Linked DNA regions of Macaca fascicularis. The protein of the gene in region 1 purifies or fractionates together with the protein of each later gene. This does not show direct contact. Links are inferred from orthologs where the notes say so. Each region holds a gene or a part of one and is shown on either strand. Other genes may lie near its edges.

The links.
Region 2: the proteins of RAB6B (region 1) and GDI1 purify together in Homo sapiens (co-immunoprecipitation; 3 studies listed by BioGRID and IntAct, counting the BioPlex papers as one, with this or other methods). This does not show direct contact. The link is inferred for Macaca fascicularis from reciprocal best matches to the Homo sapiens genes RAB6B and GDI1.

What each region holds. Positions count from the first base shown.
Region 1 is NC_088376.1:36,745,377-36,755,300, reverse strand, and holds part of RAB6B (ras-related protein Rab-6B), read left to right. Parts: intron 1-3,119; coding exon 3,120-3,173; intron 3,174-3,392; coding exon 3,393-3,498; intron 3,499-5,178; coding exon 5,179-5,290; intron 5,291-6,533; coding exon 6,534-6,627; intron 6,628-9,924. UniProt on the Homo sapiens protein: The small GTPases Rab are key regulators of intracellular membrane trafficking, from the formation of transport vesicles to their fusion with membranes. Rabs cycle between active GTP-bound and inactive GDP-bound states.
Region 2 is NC_088395.1:160,434,212-160,444,729, forward strand, and holds the start of GDI1 (rab GDP dissociation inhibitor alpha), read left to right. Parts: upstream 1-3,888; 5' UTR 3,889-3,983; coding exon 3,984-4,028; intron 4,029-5,295; coding exon 5,296-5,403; intron 5,404-5,535; coding exon 5,536-5,635; intron 5,636-5,776; coding exon 5,777-5,911; intron 5,912-6,717; coding exon 6,718-6,916; intron 6,917-7,183; coding exon 7,184-7,315; intron 7,316-8,213; coding exon 8,214-8,313; intron 8,314-8,737; coding exon 8,738-8,909; intron 8,910-9,185; exon of another isoform or gene 9,186-9,225; coding exon 9,226-9,370; intron 9,371-9,488; coding exon 9,489-9,543; intron 9,544-9,633; coding exon 9,634-9,786; 3' UTR 9,787-10,518. Other genes in the region: ATP6AP1 (V-type proton ATPase subunit S1), read left to right, coding at 436-521, 1,020-1,258, 1,924-1,971, 2,058-2,289, 2,454-2,663. UniProt on the Homo sapiens protein: Regulates the GDP/GTP exchange reaction of most Rab proteins by inhibiting the dissociation of GDP from them, and the subsequent binding of GTP to them. Promotes the dissociation of GDP-bound Rab proteins from the membrane and inhibits their activation.

The DNA.
Region 1 (9,924 bases):
ACAGGTGGGCACCCCTGCACCTGATTAATTTTTATTTTTTATTTTTTATAGAGGCAGAGTCTCACTATATTACACAGGCTGCTCTCAAACTCCTGGGTTCAAGTGATCCTTATGCCTCGGCCTTTCAAAGTGCTGGGATTATAGGCATGAGCCACTGCGCCCTGCCTCGTCCTGCTTTTGATCATTCTTCAGTGCTTGCAAATTGTTATTTCTTGTATTTTTCCAGATATTAAAATAGTTTTCTGTGCGAGGGTTTGTTTGATACAAGCCACTCAGCCATTATTGAAAGCAAAACTTAGGAATATGTTTTTGAGCAGAGCTGACGGCTCAGTTACACCCAGAGACAATGCCAATGCTTTGGCACCATCTCCACAACTATGGAAGTTCTTCAGTGGCTCAGTGGCCTGGTCAGATGGAGAGTGTGGCTAGAACAGGTCTGAGAGAGTGGACAGTTAAGGGACCAGAAGTTTCTCTGATGGGGAAGCTGGAAGTGGGAATTAAGAGAGAGCTGGAGAAAATGGGATGTTGGCCTCGTTCAGTTTCCTCGTTGCTGCCTCTGGTCAAGCTGTTATGGGATGTGAGAGAAAGTATATGGATGTTCAGTAATGGTGTTTATGATTATGGAGGCCACTGGGTTGAGCTTTGCTGGGACTTCATCCAAGTAGCACAATTCCTTGTTTCATTTGGTGACTTCTCTGCCCTTCATGGAAGCAGAAGTGCCTTGTGACATGTGAGGTGTGATGGGATTGTCATCATTACAGTTATCAGTAGCATTACTATTGGGTGCCTACCTTTGAGGGATACATTTCTCCGTGGTTCTTTGCTTGTTAGTTAGGCTATAGTTAGGCTATGTTAACAGAAACCCAAAATAACAGTGGCTTAAACAAAATAGAACAATTGAGCAGTCCAGCGCTGCTGAAGTAGCTCCTCAGGGTCAGGGAGTCAGGCTTTGTTGATGTCATCGCTCCTCTGTCATCCTCATCTGGATGGGCCACTATGACTCATCCCCACCGGACAGTGGGAAAGGGAGCAGCTGTGGGTACTCCTTGCCCACAGAGGACCTGTCCCCAAATATGCCTGCATCACCTTCACATCCCATTAACCAGAACGTAGCCACCCAGCTGCAAAGAAGGCTGGGAAATATGGTCTTTATTTGGGGCAGCCCTGAGTCCATCTGCACACCCAGAATTCTGTTACTATAGAAAGGGAGACTACATACTGGGGACAACCAACGGTCCCTGCCACCAGACCTAAGCTCATGCACCTGGTTTTCTTTCAAGGGTGACTCTACAAAAGGAGCATGTCACTCCTGGGGAACCTGTTGAGCACTGAGGAGTTCAGAGACTTCTACCTGCTATGCACATTTCTCCATAAGGGAATCAGAAGACAAGGATTGTCAATCTAACATATACCTACCTGTGAAGGAAAAAGTCTGCATCCACAAGCACTGGTCATTGCAGATTTGTCCCTCGGTGGCTACAATATGCGAAGCTGGGCTGGAAAGAGCCCAGGTGCTGCCGAGGTTGCAGCTCTGATCTTCCCAGCCCTGCTCCTGATGAGTGAAGTCACACTAGGCATGTCCTTTAACCCTCTTGGTCTGTTCTTTCATCGCCAAAGTAAGGGATTGATTGGGTTTTATCTAAGGTGCTTGTCTAGTGCCCTCATTCTAGCATCATATGCTCCAGAACATAGAATCACTCTCCATATCTTTGTGTTATGAAGCAAGCTTCCAGGAGGATGCAGCCACCCTCAGTCCTTTGTGGAACGATTTAGGAGTGTGACTATGTGAACATGTACACTTGTACACACACATTGGTGCACACCTTTGCATTCAGCCTGGGGGGCCTGGAGACATGACCTTTTCTATTTTCTTGGGCTTCCTTTGGTTTTGTTTTTTGCAGTCGAAAATCATAGCATTCCACACAATTAAACTTATTTATTAAACTTTATTTCAAAGGACTTTTCCTAATTTTAGAACTGTTATATGTTCATTGTGGAAAGTAGAGAAAAGTGTAATGAAGGAAACAAAATGCACTGCCACTATTCAGACTGTGATGCTATTAACGTTTTAGCAGATTCCCTTCACTTCATTGTTGAAGAAAACATGAATAATACTCATAGATCTACTTGAGTTAATCTAATTGGGATCACTCACCACATGATGTTTTATAACCTGGTTTTTTTTTTAACTGGATGACCATTTCCCCAAAGCCTTAAATATGTTTTCAAGAATGTGATTGTTAACAGCTGCCAAGGATTCTAATCACATGGATGTACCACACTATGCTTATTCAGTGCCTTGGACATTTGGGCTGTGTCAAAGTCTTTGTTATTATTGATTACATAGCAATGATATCTCCATCTTACATTGACAGCATCTCAGTCCTACTGACAGGTACTGGGTGCATGTGAGGCCCAGAGAGGTTGGTGGCCTGCCCAAGGACACACAGAATCCTGGCCATCTGGCCACAAGACTGGCTGCCTCTCGCAGGTGCCAGGGCAGAAGAGGCATAGGTGTGGCACAGGGGAGCTGGTGACAGCTTCCAACGTTTTGGCTTGAGAAGAAAAGAGCCAGTGGGGCCTCCCAGCGAGAGGCCACTCTGGGTGGTCTGCAGTGCCCGCACCTGAGAAAAGCCATGCTGCTGTTTGCCCCCACACAGCAGCAAGCTGCCTCCTCCCACCCTCCCGAGGCCTGTGTTGAGCCCAGGGCCATGCTTTAGGGCAGCGGGAAGAGGCTTTGGAAGCTGCAGATTAGGCCGTGAGGGGAACAAGGCAGGGAGCCCAGGTGGGGAGGGCAGGATATGTGTGTTGAGTGGCCTGAGTGGCCTTGCTCCTGGGGCGGCCTCCTCACCACGGTGCTCTCACTGCTCCCGAAGCACTTTCCCTCTCCAGAGAGGATCTCGCCCTATAAAGGCCACCCCCATCTTTCCTCAGCTTGATCCCTCAGTAAGAGGGCTGCTGAGTAGTGGGTGGAGGGGCAGGGAGGACAGAGGATGGCCATGTTAGACCTGACATGGACGTCCCCTCTTGCTGGTTACGCCACCACCTGCGGTCACCAGGCTTTTGCCCCTTTGCATGAGACCTTTTGGTTTTGACTGTTCTGTGCTTTTCTCTAACAGGCAACCATTGGGATTGACTTCTTGTCAAAAACCATGTACTTGGAGGACCGCACGGTGAGCACCTAATATTAGGACTGGGAGGGACAGGGAGGGTTCCTTTGGGCTTATCCCCTAGGATCTTTAGCTGGTCACCACTGAGAGCCCCTGCCGACACTGGGGACTGGAGCTGGTGCTGCCAGCATTGCAGAGCCTGGCTCTCCCAGTTCCCCGGACCAGGAGGACCTCACTGCCCCACTGACCCGTCTGCCTGTGGTCCTACCCTCCCTGAGACAGGTGCGACTGCAGCTCTGGGACACAGCTGGTCAGGAGAGGTTCCGCAGCCTGATCCCCAGCTACATCCGGGACTCCACAGTGGCTGTGGTGGTGTACGACATCACAAGTGAGTGAGCGTCTGCGCCTAAGGGAGGGTGGCTCATTGGGGGTTCCAGGGCCCAGGTGTGACTGTGGCCAGGCCTGTGTGTATGCGTGTGTGTGTATGCATGTTTGTGCACATGCATCTGTGTGCACACGTGTGTGCGATTGCTCCCTAAATGGAGAAAGGCAGGGAGCAGTGGTGAGTTGCCTTTGAACACCAACATGTTTTCCACTGCCCCCCACCCTCCTGCAACAGGCAGGGGTTTACAGGGCCAGGTTGGCCCTGCTCAGAGCAGGGGCCAGCATGTGGTGTGAGCAGATGCTCACAAGGTCGGCCCTGCTCCAGCCTCTCTGCACCCTCCCTCTCCCTGGCTGTCAGAAAGCTCCCTAAGGAGCTACTTCTGTATGTGTGTCACCATGGGAGAAGACGCTGGTCCCTAGGTCAACCCCGGCCCAGCAGCTGTGGGTGCAGGACTCCCTGGGAAGGTAGGCCAAGGGGGTCTGGAAGCGCAGTAGACTGGTAATCCTTCTCCAGCACCGTGGCTCTTCAGGCCAGAGCAGGTGTTCTTAACAGGACTGCACAGCCTCGAGGGCGCACAGGGCCAGAGGTGGGGGCAGGGGCCGATGCAGAAGCCAGACCTGCAAGGCTGCTGTAATGGAACACACCTGATAAGCCCTCAGGGCTGTGGTTACCATGAAGTGGGCGGATGCCCTAGGTGCTGTCCACAGCCCTAAAATCACACAAGGAAGCATGTGTGACCCCACGCTGGTGCATGCCCCTACCACCCATCCTGCTGCCCTGGCTCTGCCCGCCCCCTCTGTCCACCCCTCTTCTGACCACAGGCCCCATCCACACCTGAGTGCAGGTGGGAGCTGGGCCCATAAGGGCCTGAGTTCACATGGCCTGAGGCGCATCAGAAGGGATACCAGGCTGTGTGAAACTGAGGCTTCTGAGGACAGCTGCCTCCCCTCCCCTTGGGTGTGCAGGCTGCGGAGTGGTGGGCTTTGCCTTAGAGCTGCTCTGCCCTGCAAGGCTTGTCATGGCAGCTGAGGGAGGTCAGGCTGCCAAGAAGTGGCCTTGTCTCTCCTGGATTTTTGAGTGCACCTGGCTCCCCTGACTAGTCCTGGGGCCACCTTTCCCCTCCTCTCACCTGCAGAGCCTGAGGGTTCTCTTCAGAAATCCCTCTGGCCTTCCCCTAACTCTCCTGAGCTCCCCTGGTGGGGAGGCCACTCAGTAGGGTCCTTCCTTCCCTAGAGGCTTCTGTGTCCTCCTCTGCCCACCCCTCACTGTTTCCAAACTTGCCAAGTTGTGTGTGTGTGTGTGTGTGTGTATATATGCACACACGTGTGACCCAGTTCTCACACTCCACTCTGAATCCCCAGAGTCAGGTCTGACTCTCAGGCGGGCCCCTAAAGCCACTATTTCATGTAGCAAATCATGACGCCATGATCTTCCAGATGGGGTGATTCCTCTCCCACAAAGGGCGGCTAAACAGTGCAGGCGGCTCCCAGGGCTGCAGGGCAGGGCCTGGTTCCCTCTGAAAGGCCCTACCCGGCTGATCTGTGTTGACTGAGCTCGTACCCTCCCTGGGTATCTGAGGGCACATGCTCACCCTCCCTCCTGCTCCTGGCTCACACATCCCCTTCCCATCTCCTGCTGGTGGCTGGCCCTGGCTTTCAGTTTTTCCTCACTTTCTGCCTCCAGATCTCAACTCCTTCCAACAGACCTCTAAGTGGATCGACGACGTCAGGACAGAGAGGGGCAGTGATGTTATCATCATGCTGGTGGGCAACAAGACGGACCTGGCTGATAAGAGGTAGGTGCAAAGGGCACACAGGTGCAGGGTACCACCCTCCACTCCTCTCCAGCTGCTCCTGGACGGGGAGCTCTGGGATGCGTGGGTGGTGTGTCTGTGCTTCTGACCATGCATCCGGAAAAGGTCCCTTGAGACACTAGGAGCTTTGAGAACACCTGGTAGACTCTCACCCCTGGGTGTCTCATCTGTGAAGCCCTGCCTTCCACCACCAGGCAGGGGCGGGGCACTCCTCCGTGTGCTGTCTACACAGAGCCCTGTGCACCTGGCTTGGCCCAGCAGTGCATGGTCTAAGACCCTGCCATGGCCACAGCACTGCCCCAGACACAGCAGTTCCCTAAGCCCCAGTGTGTGTACTGCGAACTGTCTGTGCCTGTGAAGTGTCTGCACCAGTGTGCATGGGGGTGCGAACACCCTGGGCCCTAGGTGTGAGCATGCAGAGCATTCAGACCACAAACCTATAGCTGTAGCCTGCTTAGCCTGGTTTGTGGCTGCATCTGGCATGAAGCTTTCTCTGAAGAGTCTCCTCCATGCTGCCCTCCATGCACAGGGAGAACTGAGGTGCCATGTGTGTACGCTGTCCACTCGTTTCACGTGACCCTGACTTGGGCAGATAAAGTGACAGGCCATGGACTCCAGCAAGCAGTGCAGGCTTCCGCAGTGTCCCTTGAGCACCTGAGGAATCATCTGAATTAGAGCCTGCTTTACTAGAGTTCTGTCCTTAAAGTAAGGAAAACTGGGCTCAAATCCCAGTACAAAGGGCACCTAGGCCCTTCATACCCTCAGCCACTTCTGCCTGCCCCATCATGGAGCCCTCTCTGCTAAGCAGCTTTGTGGCCCCGGGGGAGACACTTTTAGCATTAGTGTTCTCATACGGAAAATGCGACTAATAGCACCACCCAGAGTGGACTGTGTGGCTTGAATCTCTTCACAAGCACAAGCTCTGCAGTAATTACTACTGGGAAAGGCAGGCGTGGGGCATCCCTACCCCAGGGCCTGCTTTGAAGCTGAGAAGACACGAAGGAAGGAGTGGGGGAAGGGGATAGTGTCCTGCTGTTCCCTGGTGCTCGCTTTGTGCTAGAGACTATGGTTGGTGCCCAGGAGGGACCCCTGGGATCAGAGCCTGTCTTCAGGGCTGACCAAGGGCCTAGTGGGCTCCCTCTGCCATGCTGGGCGGGTCCCTCCTCATCTCTGCCAGGGGCTGCTCCTCTGCTGAACTGATTTCCCCCCTTCCCGTCATCTCTAGGCAGATAACCATCGAGGAGGGGGAGCAGCGCGCCAAAGAACTGAGCGTCATGTTCATTGAGACCAGCGCGAAGACTGGCTACAATGTGAAGCAGGTGAGGACACACCTGGCACCGGGCCTGGCACGGTGTGGTCCTGTGGTCAGCCTCAGGCTCAGACCTGCCTTGCCCTGAGGGGCTGGTGGCGGGGTTGGGGCAGCCAACCAGAACACCCATAGATGCGCCCAGGGCAGGGAGAGCTAATTTCTGGAGCTGGTAAAGCCCAAGAGAGGGAGGGAGCACTCCGGGCATGGCGACTGGAGAATGTAAGTCACCAGCCACCATAGCAGTGGCCAATCACAGCCCATGTAGCAGTCCCTAAGAGTGTCCAGCCACCAGCTTCCAGGTGGCTGAGGGAAGCAGTGGTTCCCTAGCCCCTCACCCCACTTTGGATGACGCATGCAGGAAAATTCAATCCGATCAGCATTTGGGGTTCATGCCTTGCACTTAGCAAGTGCTTAGGGCTGCGGAGGGCAACTCAGGCCTGGAGAAAAGAGCCCACCATGGTGTGGCTGGAACTCACAGGAGGGTGAGGCAGTGGAGTTAGGGCCGAGCCTTGCAGCATGAGGGCCCCTGAGTGGTCCATGGATGGAATTTAGCAGGTCAGCAGACAGGGCTGGAAAACATTGCACCTTTTATCTTCACTAACCACTAACCCGTCCATAGCACTGAAGGATGTCTGTTTGTCCTTCAATGATTAATGTAGGCAATGACGCTCAGTCGTATTAGTGGTGCCTATGGCTTTACCACCAGTAGAAATCACAGATGCCTTCCCATCCCCTCACAGTGTTGCAGATACCTTGAACTTTACATGCATCAGTGTTTCAGTGTCACAGTAGTTATTGGATCTCTTACTAGTTCTCACTGTTCAATGTGTTCATAAGGAAGCACGAATGTCGATGAGGTGTATTCCAGTACTCAGTAGTTCCCTTTATCATCCTATGTCATTGATTTCACATACTTCAAAGGAGTCCATGGGCTTCACCAGACTGCCAGAGTGGTCCTTGGCTCACGGAAAGGTTGAGAACTCCTGCCACTGGGGATGCGAATAGGACTTGGAGAGGTGGTGAGGAGGGAGGGCATGCCAAGCAGGGGAGCAGCACAGGTGTGGCTGCAGGGTGCCCGAGGTGTGGGGAGGGGACTCTGGATGAGGAGTGTGGTTGGCCTGGCGTTCGCTTCTGCCCTGCCCCCTGCATTGCTGGGAACCCTCGGCAAGCTGTGTATGCAGCACTGGCCTTTTGGATGCAGTGATGGTTTGCCCTGTGCGAACAGTGCTGGTGGCAATGGGGAGGGTGGGCTGGCAGAGCGACAAGAAGAGACAGAGTGGAAGGGACACTGTGTGACACTGGGGGCCCCAAAGCTCCAGGACTCAGCACCCCACCCTAACTGGAGTGCCCTCAGCAGGGCTCCACTCACTCCCATCTGTTCCCAGCCTCCCTTGGTGTGGGGCTGAAGCTGCCATGGTCCTTCCTGCTCCCGGGGACCATGGAGGAGAGACTGGGCTGCTGCTCTTTGGGAGCGCTAAAGTAATGGGAAGCAGGGAAGCAGAGGGAGGGCAGCACCAGCAGGTCCATAGGGCAGGTAGCATCTGCCTCAGCAGTCAGGGTCAGGGAGGCACTGATGCCCCCACCCCCAGAGTGCTCTGGAACCCACGCAGTGGTTTAGCAGGAGTTAAATGTGGTCCGTTTCGGACCCTACGTGGCTCAGGGGAGTCTCCATGCAGTGCAGACTCCTGGATCTAAATGTGAGCATTTCCACTCACAGAAACCCGTACCTGACCCTAGAGCACCCTTCAAAATCCCTAGTGGCATTTGGGCCACTAGTCAGGGCTGTGACCGTTTTGAGAGCCAGACAGGCAGATAGGAGCCGCCCAGGGCCAATGCCATGAAGGAAAGCTCAGGAAGGATGGCCCAGGTCCTTTGTACCCTTGCCTACTAATAGCTACCCTACCGCAGAGCCTCCTCTGCAGCCCGCCCACAAGGCTCTCACACCGTGCTGGGCCCACCAGGAGCTTCCCGCCTTGGGCCCTCACGGCCTTTAGCCCTGTCACTCAGCCCGGGTGCTCAGCTGGGGCTGGGCTCTGGGGTGAGGCCATGAATAAGACTCACCCTGTCTTCAGAGAGCTCATGCAGTGGAGGGCATGAGCCCAGAGCCCACCCAGCTCCTGTAATTCGTATTTGTGAGGAGAGCAGGGAGTGCTCCTGGGTTAGTCCTGTCAGGCTACTGTAACAAATCATTATAGGTTGGGTAGCGTATAAACAACAGAAATGTATTGCTCACAGCTCTGGAGGCTGGGAACTCCACAGTCAAGGTGCAGGCAGATTCAGTCTGGTGAGGGCCCATTTTCTCCTAGATGGCACCTTCCTGCTGCATCCTCACAATGTGGAAGGGGCAGACAGGCTCCCTCGGGCCTCATTCCTAAGGGCGCTCATCCCGTTCATGAGGGCTCTACCCTCCTGACTAAGCACCTCCTAAAGTCCCACCTCTTTATACTGTCACATTGGAGATTCTGTTTCAACATAGGAATTTGCAGGGGACCAGCATTTGGAGCATAGCCGTTCAGAGTCTTCTGTGCCTCATACTTCTGCCTTGTACTTGTCACCTCCAAGATTCCATCTCTGCCCGCACCCTATCTGCCACTTGCCACCTGTCCCCTGCCACCCATGCCTGCCCCAACACGCGCGCGCGTGCACACACACACAGAAAACCCACATGCACGCAGACACGCACCTTACCAAGGAGACACTATAGACACATTCCCCCCACATTTACACAAACACGCACACAAAGATACCACACATTCACACACACCACACGTTCTCCCGTATGTTTACACAGACACACATGCACCTACCCACACCTATCACTCACAACACACACATTCTCCACGCAGTCCTACAGATAAAACACATACACTGTACACACACTCCCACAATCAACAACTCACACTCCACATCCAAACAAGCCCAAAAGATTGTGTTCACACTCCTGCATCCCTCGCGCTCTCAGAGAAGCCTCACTGCTGTGCCATGTGGCCCGGGCCCTGCTGTTCGCTGCCTTGGCACCGGACCTGCAGGGCTCCCTGAGCAGAGTCATTCATCTCAAGGTCGTATCAGTTCCCCACGCCTGGTCCCCATGAGGGCTGTGTGCACAAATCCACCTTAAGGCCTGTACCTGGAGGCCCAAACCATTTTCTGCACCAGAGCAGGTCCTTTGCAGTCACTGCCATGACCTAAGCTTACCCCAGTGACCTTGTGGCCAGTCTGCTTGGGCAAGAGTCCACAGCTTTGTTCCTTCCATGAGCTACTGAGGCCTGCCCAGACCTGATGCTGTGAGAGGCACTGCAGGTGGGGG
Region 2 (10,518 bases), on another chromosome or scaffold:
GTGCTGGAGGCTATGGAGCCAGTTTCTGTGCATGCAGCGTGAATCCTAGAGTTATGGGTTTAATAAGACTGCAGACATTTGGAAAAACAATTCTGGGGACTTACCTATTTGCAATAAAGAACAGTCATTGCCCATGGAAAGGCAGTCACAAACCTTTCATGGGTGGATGTGGAGTTTTCTGTATTGATATGTATTTTCTCGTGTCACATAGGTAGGGCTTGGCATTAGGAAGTTGATGACCAAAGCCACAGTTGTCCAGGGGGGAGGCTAGGAATGGGGGTGGGATGAGAAATAGCTGCTCCTAAGGATCCTCAGTGGAAAGTAATAACACCACTTTCAGATGGTCTAGAAGGTTTCTAAAGCAGACGGTGGGGAGTGTTTCTTTACACAGGGTGCCTGGTGACTTGACTCTCTGCTCTCCTTTTTGACCCTCAGATGAGGTCATTGGGCAGGTCCTGAGCACACTCAAGTCTGAAGATGTCCCGTACACAGCGGCCCTCACAGCGGTCCGCCCTTCCAGGGTATGTGCCCTTCCAGCAGGGGCTCTGGGGCATGCAGGGAGAGGCAGTGTGGTGAGTCTGTCTGGAGGTGGGGGGTGTATGCCACAGGCAGGCTGTCCGGGAGGCCCAGCATAGCGGAAGCATCAGGCACAGAACCCCTGTGGTGTGACTATTTGGAGTGGCTTGTCCCTGGGCTGACTCTGGGGGAGGACTAGGATGAGCACTCAAGTGCTGCCTCCCCATTCCAGGGGCAGCTTTCCATCTCGTCCTTTGAGGCTTGTGGGTGGCAGACTTGGACACTAAGTCTAAATGACCCTAAGTTTGAGGGACTAGGAATGTCATCAGGGTTTAGGGGCCATCAGGGAAAGCTTTCTGGAGGAAAGGCCTCCTCTGGCTGGTGGGACTTTGAGATAGTGGACAGGGTGTCCTGTCGGGAGAGGAGGGAGGGCACGACAGCTGGGTTGGAGTATGACAGTCTCCCAGGGCTGCTGAAAGAAGGCTGGTTGGGTGTTTCTGCAGGTGGCCCGTGATGTAGCGGTGGTGGCTGAAGGGCTAGGTCGCCAGCTGTTACAAAAACAGCCAATATCACCTGTGATCCATCCTCCTGTGAGTTACAATGACACTGCTCCCCGGATCCTGTTCTGGGCCCAAAACTTCTCTGTGGCGTACAAGGACCAGTGGGAGGACCTGACTCCCCTCACCTTTGGGGTGCAGGAGCTCAACCTGACTGGCTCCTTCTGGAATGACTCCTTTGCCAGGCAAGGGCACTAGGCTGGGGAGGACTGTGCCACCACAGGTGACCTTCCCACCACTGTGAGTTGCAGGTGGGGCAGGGAGCCAGGGTCAGGTCTGTGTGTTGGGGTGGGGATGGCCATGGTCTGGTTGGGGTCTGGGCAGTGTGAGGATGTAGGAGGTGTCATGGCGGGGGGTGCTGTTGGAGGGGAGTTGCTCAGACTTCTGCCTCCCCATGCTTGTGAGTCTTTGGTTGGGACCTTGGTTGTTAACACCTCCCCCTTGAGCAAAACTTCTGGGACTTTGTGTGGGCAAATGCCAGGCCAGCTACCTGAGGCATTTATGGGGCAACCATGCCCTTCTGTTTGCTCTCACCCCCAAAGCCCAGCCCAGGCACCTTAGTGACCCTAAGAGGGAGTAAAAGGAGAGGTAGTGAGCTCAGGGGAACCAGAGGAAGGACCCCCATGCTGGTGGCAAGGGGAACCTGGGTCCTGGCTTCCAGCTCTGTTCTGGGCTTGCAATGCGACTGGATCCTCAGTTTTCCTATCTGTCAAGTGGGGTCACTGCTTCTTCAGGTGGCTGCAAGGACCCAAGGCAGCTTAGGTAAGAGCAGAGCTGAGGAACTTGTTCCTCTAAGATGCCAAAGGCCCTCCCAGAGCCTCATGGTGCACCTCTTTCTCTGCCTCCACAGGCTCTCACTGACCTATGAACGACTCTTTGGTACCACAGTGACATTCAAGTGAGTCCTGGGGTGGTTGAGGTGTGGGGAGGCTGGTGTGGCCCCAGCCTCCCCAGCTCACCTGACATCCCTGCCACCTTCCCCAGGTTCATTCTGGCCAACCGCCTCTACCCAGTGTCCGCCCGGCACTGGTTTACCATGGAGCGCCTCGAAGTCCACAGCAATGGCTCCGTTGCCTACTTCAATGCTTCCCAGGTCACAGGGCCCAGCATCTACTCCTTCCACTGCGAGTATGTCAGCAGCCTGAGCAAGAAGGGCAGTCTCCTCGTGGCCCGCACGCAGCCCTCCCCCTGGCAGATGATGCTTCAGGACTTCCAGGTATGGCGCAGGGGTGGCCCAGCTTCAGGTGGGGGAGCCCAGGCTGGTGTTTGAGAAACGAAGAGAGGCTTGGGCTTGGGAGTCCTGTCCCTGCGCTGCCCTTGTCCCAGTCCTTGCTGGGCCTCCCAACGGTCCTTTCTGACCCGTGTCTGTGTGTCTGCCAGATCCAGGCTTTCAACGTGATGGGGGAGCAGTTCTCCTATGCCAGTGACTGTGCCAGCTTCTTCTCCCCCGGCATCTGGATGGGGCTGCTGACCTCCCTGTTCATGCTCTTCATCTTCACCTACGGCCTGCACATGATCCTCAGTCTCAAGACCATGGATCGCTTTGATGATCACAAGGGCCCCACCATTTCTTTGACCCAGATCGTCTGACCCTGTGCCAGTGGGGGATTGAGGGTGGGACAGTGTCCGTGTTGTTGCTTTCCCACCCTGCAGCACACTGGACTGGAGCTTCCCTCTTCCTACCGCAGCATGAACCCCAAGCTCCCCTCAGCCCATCTTGCTCCCTCTTCAGCCTGCTGAGGAGCTTTCCTGGGCTGCCCCCATCTCTCCCAACAAGGTGTACATATTCTGCGTAGATGCTAGACCAACCAGCTTTCCAGGCTTAGTCGCTGTGAGGCGTAAGGGACATGAATTCTAGGGTCCCCTTTCTCCTTATTTATTCTTGTGTCTACATCATCCCTGGCTGTGGATAGTGTTTTTGTGTAGCAAATGCTCCCTCCTTAAGGTTATAGGGCTCCCTGAGTTTGGGGTGTGGAAGTTCTACTTAACTGTCCTGCTTGGCTGTCGTTATCGTTTTCTGGTGATGTTGTGCTAACAATAAGCAGTACACTGGGGTTTATTTCTGTGGCCTGAGAAGGAAGGCACCTCCACAGGTGGGCTGGGTGCGATCGTCGGCTGTCTGGCATGTTCCCACCGGAAGTGCCTGGCAGGAGCAGGGGGTGCTCGGTTGTTTCCTTCCTAATAAAGTAAACGAGGATCGCCATGCGTTGGGCCTCTTGTCGCTCATTTCTGCGCTGAGCTTTTGGCGCGTGCTCGCCAGAGGTATGCGGGAGGATGGAGCCTGGAGAGGGGGAGGCTAGGAGGCATCCCCGGAGACCGGGAGGGGCTTTAGTAAGCTGGGCCCTAACCGCTTAGGTCAGGGAGGGGTGGTCGGGCCGAGTCCCGGTGCGCTTCGGCGTCTCAGGAGGCCGTAGTGACAATGGCAGCCTTCGCGTCGTGAGGGAGCCGCCCCCGGCTGCCGCAGCGGCGCGCGTCCGGTCGCGGGGCCGCGCCGAGACTCCCGGGGGGCGGGGCGGGCGCGCGCGGGGCGGGGCGGGGCGGGGCGCGCCCGGCTCCCGCGCATGGATCCTTCCCGGGCCGCAGCACCGGCCGCCGGCCCGCCCCGCCCGCCCCGCCCGCCCCGCCCCGAGCCTCTCTGGACTCTCGGCGAGCAACGTCGCCCGCGGAGCCGCGCTGGTGCTGTGGCCCGGGCCCTGGCAGCCCTCCCGGGAGGCGAGCCGGGAAGGCGGTGTCCCCTGCCGGGTGCGGCGGGGCGCGGGAAGAGGCGGGACTCTTTGACGCGGCGGAGGGGTCGGGCGGCGGCCGACGCTCCGCCATCTTTGGTCCAGTGCGGTGGCGGCGGCGGCGGTGGCTACTGCTGTGGTGAAGGAGGAGGAGGAGCCGAGCGGGCGCTGCCACTGAGGCCTGACCATGGACGAGGAATACGATGTAATCGTGCTGGGGACCGGCCTCACCGTAAGTGCGGCCCCGGGCGCCCTTGGCCCTGCGTCGTGCCCTCGCCATTCCCCGCGATGATGCGGCCGCCGGCCCATCCTCCGGTCACTGCCATCTTCTGCGCTCGGCTCCCCGAAAAGCCGGCGCCGTGCCCACCCCGCTGCTCCCCCCGCGATGTCGCCTCTGTTCGTTGCCATGACCCCATCTCCCCGAAGGGGCCCCCTTCCTGGCCGCCCCCTGGCCTACCCGGGTCCGACCCCCGGCGCTCTCCCATCTTCCCTACCCCTGCCCTCTGGACCGGAAAACGCACCCCCACTCGGCCCGTTGCCCCCGACCCCGCCCACCCATCGCCCCCACCCCGCCCACCCATCGCCCCCACCCCGCCCACCCATCGCCCCCACCCATCACGGCATCCACCCGTCGCCCGCACCCATCGCCCGCCTAGCGTTGCCTCCCAGCGTCCCTTCCCATCTTGCGCTAATCCCTGTGAGGATGAAGTACAAGGACCTGGGGTCAGGGGGCCTCGCCAGGGTGGGCTCTCAGCCCACCCCCTCGTCGTCTTCTGGGGCCAGGGGATCCAGGGAATGTTCCAGAAGGAGCAGCAGTGGGGGCAGTAAGCACATTCCCGCAACCCCACCTCGGTTGCCCATGGAGACCTCAGGCTGAGTAGCATCTGCAGCCTTTGTCCTTGGGCTAGTGACAGTGACTGGTGAGGGTGTTTATCTTCCCCCTTTCCCCGAAAATCCCGTTGGCCCACTCCCCTCAGAGACTCTTCTCCCTCGGTCCAGACCCAGATGCCCCTCCTCAGCGGCAGGGGCTCCTGCTCTTTGAAGAAAGAGCAGTCCAGGGTGGGGCCTACAATTTCAAGGACTGTGCTAAGCCTTTCTTTGCTTCCCTTTGGAGTGTCTTTCGCAGTCCAGCTGGGTCCCCTCTGTGCCACATTGTGTTTTATCCGCCTTTTTGTGCGGCTCTGCGTAGGTAGATGCCTCTCGGCGTGTTGGTACTGGAAGGCCATCCTGTGTCTGCTGGATGCCCTGCCTACCTCAAAGCCTCCGTTATTTCACTGTCTGCCTTGTGAGGGGGACGGTCTCCTTTACCCCGCAAGGTTGCAATGGAGAGTGTGGTCGGATGAAACCATCACCCCAATTTTAGGCGAGGCAACTAGCCGGTGGGGGTGGTGGATGGAAGGAGCTGTCCACTGAGGCAGGTTTGGGTGGGGAACAAATCAGGGCTGCTGGTAGGAGCAGAGGAAGGTGGGAGTGCAGCGGATTGTGTGGCCCTCCCCCAGGAATGCATCTTGTCGGGCATCATGTCTGTGAACGGGAAGAAGGTGCTGCACATGGACCGGAACCCCTACTACGGGGGCGAGAGCTCCTCCATCACACCCCTGGAGGAGGTGAGGCTGCCTGGGCCCAGGCCCATCCCTGTTAACCTCCCACACAGCGGCACAGGGTGGAAGTAGCTCTCCAGGTGCCTGGAGCAGGAGGAGGTGGTCCCTGAGGTGTCTCTCTCTCCCTTCTGCTTACAGCTGTATAAGCGTTTTCAGTTGCTGGAGGGGCCCCCTGAGTCCATGGGCCGAGGCCGAGACTGGAACGTTGACCTGATTCCCAAATTCCTCATGGCTAACGGTGAGGGACAGGAAGGAGGTATTGCAGGTCGGGGGTGATAGGGAAGACCTAAGGACAGTCAGGCTCCAAAGGAGGCACAGCCAGACCAGCTAGAACCTCTGGAGAGAGCCGTGCTGATGTTGCCCTTGTGCACCCCCACAGGGCAGCTGGTAAAGATGCTACTGTATACAGAAGTGACTCGCTACCTGGACTTCAAGGTGGTGGAGGGCAGCTTTGTCTACAAGGGGGGCAAGATCTACAAAGTGCCGTCCACTGAGACTGAGGCCTTGGCTTCCAGTGAGTGTGGGCCCCCTGAGCCAGAGAAATCATGGGGTGGCAGGGAAGCCAACTGTCTTTGGGATGGGTGGCTGTCCAGAGTAAGGCACCCCTTTGTCCAAAGTCACATTCCCCCATGAAGGACCAGAGGCCCTTCACTCTGTATTCCCTCTGCCCCATGTCATGCCGCATGGCTGGCTGCCAAGAGGGAGGTCCCCACGCAGCAGGGATGTGACGTGGAGGGGAACGGGACTCCTTTTGAAAGACTTGAGCGTGGCCAGGCACGGTGGCTCATGCCTGTAATCCCAGCACTTTGAGAGGCCTAGGCGGGTGGATCACGAGGTTAGGAGTTCAAGACCAGCCTGGCCAACATGGTGAAACCCCGTCTTGTCTCAAAATACAAAAAATTAGCTGAGTGTGGTGGCACACACCTGTAATCCCAGCTACTCGGGAGGCTGAGGCAAGAGAATGGTTTGAACCCGGGAGGTGGAGGTTGTGGTGAGCCGAGATCATACCACTGCACTCCAGCCTGGGCGATAGAGCAAGACTCCATCTCAAAAAACAACAACAACAAAGAAAACTTGAGCCTTTGGCAGGGGCTCCACTGGATCCTCAAGACATCCCCAAGTGTCCAAGCCAGGAAAGCCCTTAGAGTCCATCCAGGCCAATCCCCTCTTCATCCTGGTGGGGAAACTGAGGCTAAAAAGGGTGGAGAGGTTAACCTAAGGTCACAGGACAGCTGGGCTGGGAGTGGGGGTGCCTGCCCTGCTGAGATGGAGAGTTTTGTGCTGCGTTGGTGCAGAACCTCCTCCCGCCACCTTCCTTAGATCTGATGGGTATGTTTGAGAAACGGCGCTTCCGCAAGTTCCTGGTGTTTGTGGCAAACTTCGATGAGAATGACCCCAAGACCTTTGAGGGTGTTGACCCCCAGACTACCAGCATGCGTGATGTCTACCGGAAGTTTGATCTGGGCCAGGATGTCATCGATTTCACTGGCCACGCCCTGGCACTCTACCGCACTGATGAGTGAGGGGAAGCTGGTGTGGCGGCAGCCCCCTCGCCCGGCCCACCTCCTGCCCTCCCCACACCTGCCTGTTGTCCCCCTGCCCTGCATGTTCCTTGTACTCAGCCATAGGCTCACCTGTCACCCTTTCCATTTCCCCCTTGCATTTGATCCTCATCTTCCCCAGGCCATTCAGGGTGGTGGGAAGACTGGCCTGGTACCTGGTACCTGGGTGGGGGTAAGTCAGGGGTGCTGCTACTGGAGCATCTTCCCTAACCCCTGTCCCCCAGCTACCTGGACCAGCCCTGTCTTGAGACCATCAACCGCATCAAGTTGTACAGTGAGTCCCTGGCCCGGTATGGCAAGAGCCCATATTTATACCCGCTCTACGGCCTGGGCGAGCTGCCCCAGGGTTTTGCAAGGTGAGGACGTGGGTTTTTTCAGTTGGCATGGCTGAGTAGGACTAGGGCCAGGAGTGGAGATGGCCCCCTTGAGCATTTCCCTGGTAGCATTTCCTCCTTTCCAATTCGTGATTTTCATTTACTTCACTCCATCCTTGGGTGATGAGGGCACAACCCCAGTGCACTGAAGTACAGAAGTCTCCACACTTGCCGGGCGCGGTGGCTCACGCCTGTAATCCCAGCACTTTGGGAGGCCGAGGCGGGCGGATCACAAGGTCAGGAGATCGAGACCACGGTGAAACCCCGTCTCTACTAAAAATACAAAAAATTAGCCGGGCGCGGTTGTGGGTGCCTGTAGTCCCAGCTACTCGGGAGGCTGAGGCAGGAGAATGGCGTGAACCCGGGAGGCGGAGCTTGCAGTGAGCCGAGATCGCGCCACTGCACTCCAGCCTGGGCGACAGAGCGAGACTCCGTCTCAAAAAAAAAAAAAAAAAAAAAAGAAGTCTCCACACTTGAAGAACCAAGTTTCCACAAATGTGACTTGCTCAGTTCCCGGCAGCACCAGGACTGGGCCCAGGGCCCCAGAACCTTGAGTCAGGGCTTCGCTGGGAGGTGACCTATCTTGAGAGAGTCCATCCTGGTCCTTCAGGCTGTCTTGGTGCAGAGCACTGCTCCCTCATGCCCCCTTCTGCTGGTCCTTGGCAGTGTATTCTGGGCAGAAGAAGCTCCTGAGAGGAAAGAGCCCGCTGAGATGGGGCCAGAGTTCACGGCAGTGACACAGCTGGGATGAATCCCGGCGTCTCCTGCCTGCTGCCTGCCTGGGGCAGCCTTTTTTGCACCTTGGTGGAGGAAGGGTGACAGTGGAATTGGTCCCCGTTTCTCCTGGGAGGGGCCTTCACCAGGGCTGTTCTCACCACAGATTGAGTGCCATCTATGGGGGGACGTATATGCTGAACAAACCTGTGGATGACATCATCATGGAGAATGGCAAGGTGGTGGGCGTGAAATCTGAGGGAGAGGTGAGCCTTTCTGGTGCAGTGCAGTCACCATGGTTGAGGCAGGGCTTGGTCACCTTCTTTTCACCGTGCTGCCGGGTCTCCTGCTGCACAGCCCCGAGGGTCCTGGAGCTGGGAACTGGGCGTTCAGAAGTCTTCAGAGCCATGAATGTGGGTGAGGGGCTATTTCAGAGGCCACACGCCATGTCTGTAGTGCAGAAAGTGTACTTGATCACGGGGCATCTGGGAGGTGGGGGCGGGCACCCAGCCTATGGGTCAGGGCCCACCTCTGTGAGCTGCAGGGCAGGGCCATGCATTCAGGAGGGGCAGTAGTGATGGCTCCGAGGAGTGCCTTGTCTGCCAGAGCTGCCTGCCTTTGCTGTGAACACAGCCCCAAGACTACCTAAGGGAGTGATCTGACGGGCGAGGATTTCTGGTGCCTTCTCAGGTGGCCCGCTGCAAGCAGCTGATCTGTGACCCCAGCTACATCCCGGACCGTGTGCGGAAGGCTGGCCAGGTTATCCGCATTATCTGTATCCTTAGCCACCCCATCAAGAACACCAACGATGCCAACTCCTGCCAAATAATCATCCCCCAGAACCAGGTCAACAGGAAGTCAGGTAGGCCGGGTGCTGGTACAACTTCCTCTAGGGTGTTCTCTTTGGGGTTACCCTTTCTCTCCCCATCAGTGTCGGAGCTCCCTGCCTTACCTCTCTGGAAAAAATTTGACCCACGTTGTAGTCACCACAACTTGGACCCCTAGGGTTTGGGTGGCCTGGACTCTTCCCCTCTGGGAGGGTGGCGGCTTGGATGCTACCTGCTTTGCGGGGCTGGGGAGGGGGCAGGTGGGCCAGACTTGTGTCCAGCCACTGGAACTCATCTCTGCGTATGGCCAGCGCCTCTGGCCCGAGTTGACGGAGCTCTTCCTGTGGCCAGACATCTACGTGTGCATGATCTCCTATGCACACAACGTGGCGGCCCAGGGCAAATACATCGCCATCGCCAGCACTACTGTGGAGACCACGGACCCTGAAAAGGAGGTGGAGCCGGCTCTGGAGCTGTTGGAGCCCATTGACCAGAAGTGAGGGGCTGGGCCGAGCCCGAGAGGGAGAGGGAGGGAGCCCAGGAGCTGGGCTTAGGGACCAGGAAGGGCATGGCCCGTTGTGAGGCCTGTCCCCTCCCCTCTGTCTGCCCCTCAGGTTTGTGGCTATCAGTGACTTGTATGAGCCCATTGATGATGGTTGTGAGAGCCAGGTAAGCAGTTTGCCCCAGCCCTGGCTCCTGGCTGCCCCCCCAGGGCACCTGCCTGACTCACCCTGGGCGCTGGGCTTTGGCTGTTTCCAGGTATTCTGTTCCTGCTCCTACGATGCCACCACACACTTTGAGACAACCTGCAACGACATCAAAGACATCTACAAACGCATGGCTGGCATGGCCTTTGACTTTGAGAACATGAAGCGTAAACAGAACGACGTCTTTGGAGAAGCTGAGCAGTGATTGTGGCCGCCCCCAGCCCCTGCTGCCCCAGCCTGTGTCTGTTCTCCTAGAGGGCTCCAGCATCCTCTGCTTCCCCCACCACGTTCCCATCACCCACCTCATTGATCCACTGACCAAATCCTTAACCCTAGCGATGGTTTGGGAGATGGGGGGTTGGATAGCATCCTCTTTCTTGGCCCTTCCTTATCCTAGGAAAAGAGGGTTCCTCTCCTTGTGTGTGTCTCTTCCCCCCACCCCTAATTCTTCTGCTCTGTTCGGGAAGACGGGGAGGAAAAGGTGACTTCTGCCCCCACCGCTCTTACCCCCACTGTAGTGGCCTTTGGAGATGCCCCCACCTCCCCCCACCAACTCTTGGCGTGTTGGAGAGAAGGGGCCCTCCCAGCACAAAGTTGCATTCCTCCCCCCTAATTTATTCTAATTTATTAACTTCGACCCACCCTTTCTGAGCCTGCAGCCTTCCCGTGTGGCCTGGGGGCTGTAGAGTGAGCTGCCCCAGCCCCTCCCAGCCCTTGCCCAGCCTGGGGCAGTGGGGAAGGCTTGGGCGTGGCCCCGTTGGAGGTTGATTTGCTGTTTTGTTTCTTGTCTTTGTGTTTGTGTTCTGTGGTACTTGCTGAGAGAAAAATGTGAGCAAAGCAGAAGGAGGTGGGAAAATGGACCCAAACCCCAGTGTGCCCTGCCCGTACCTTTCCTTTAGTGGTGGGAAACCCTTATCTTGCAAAGTGAATGTGTCCC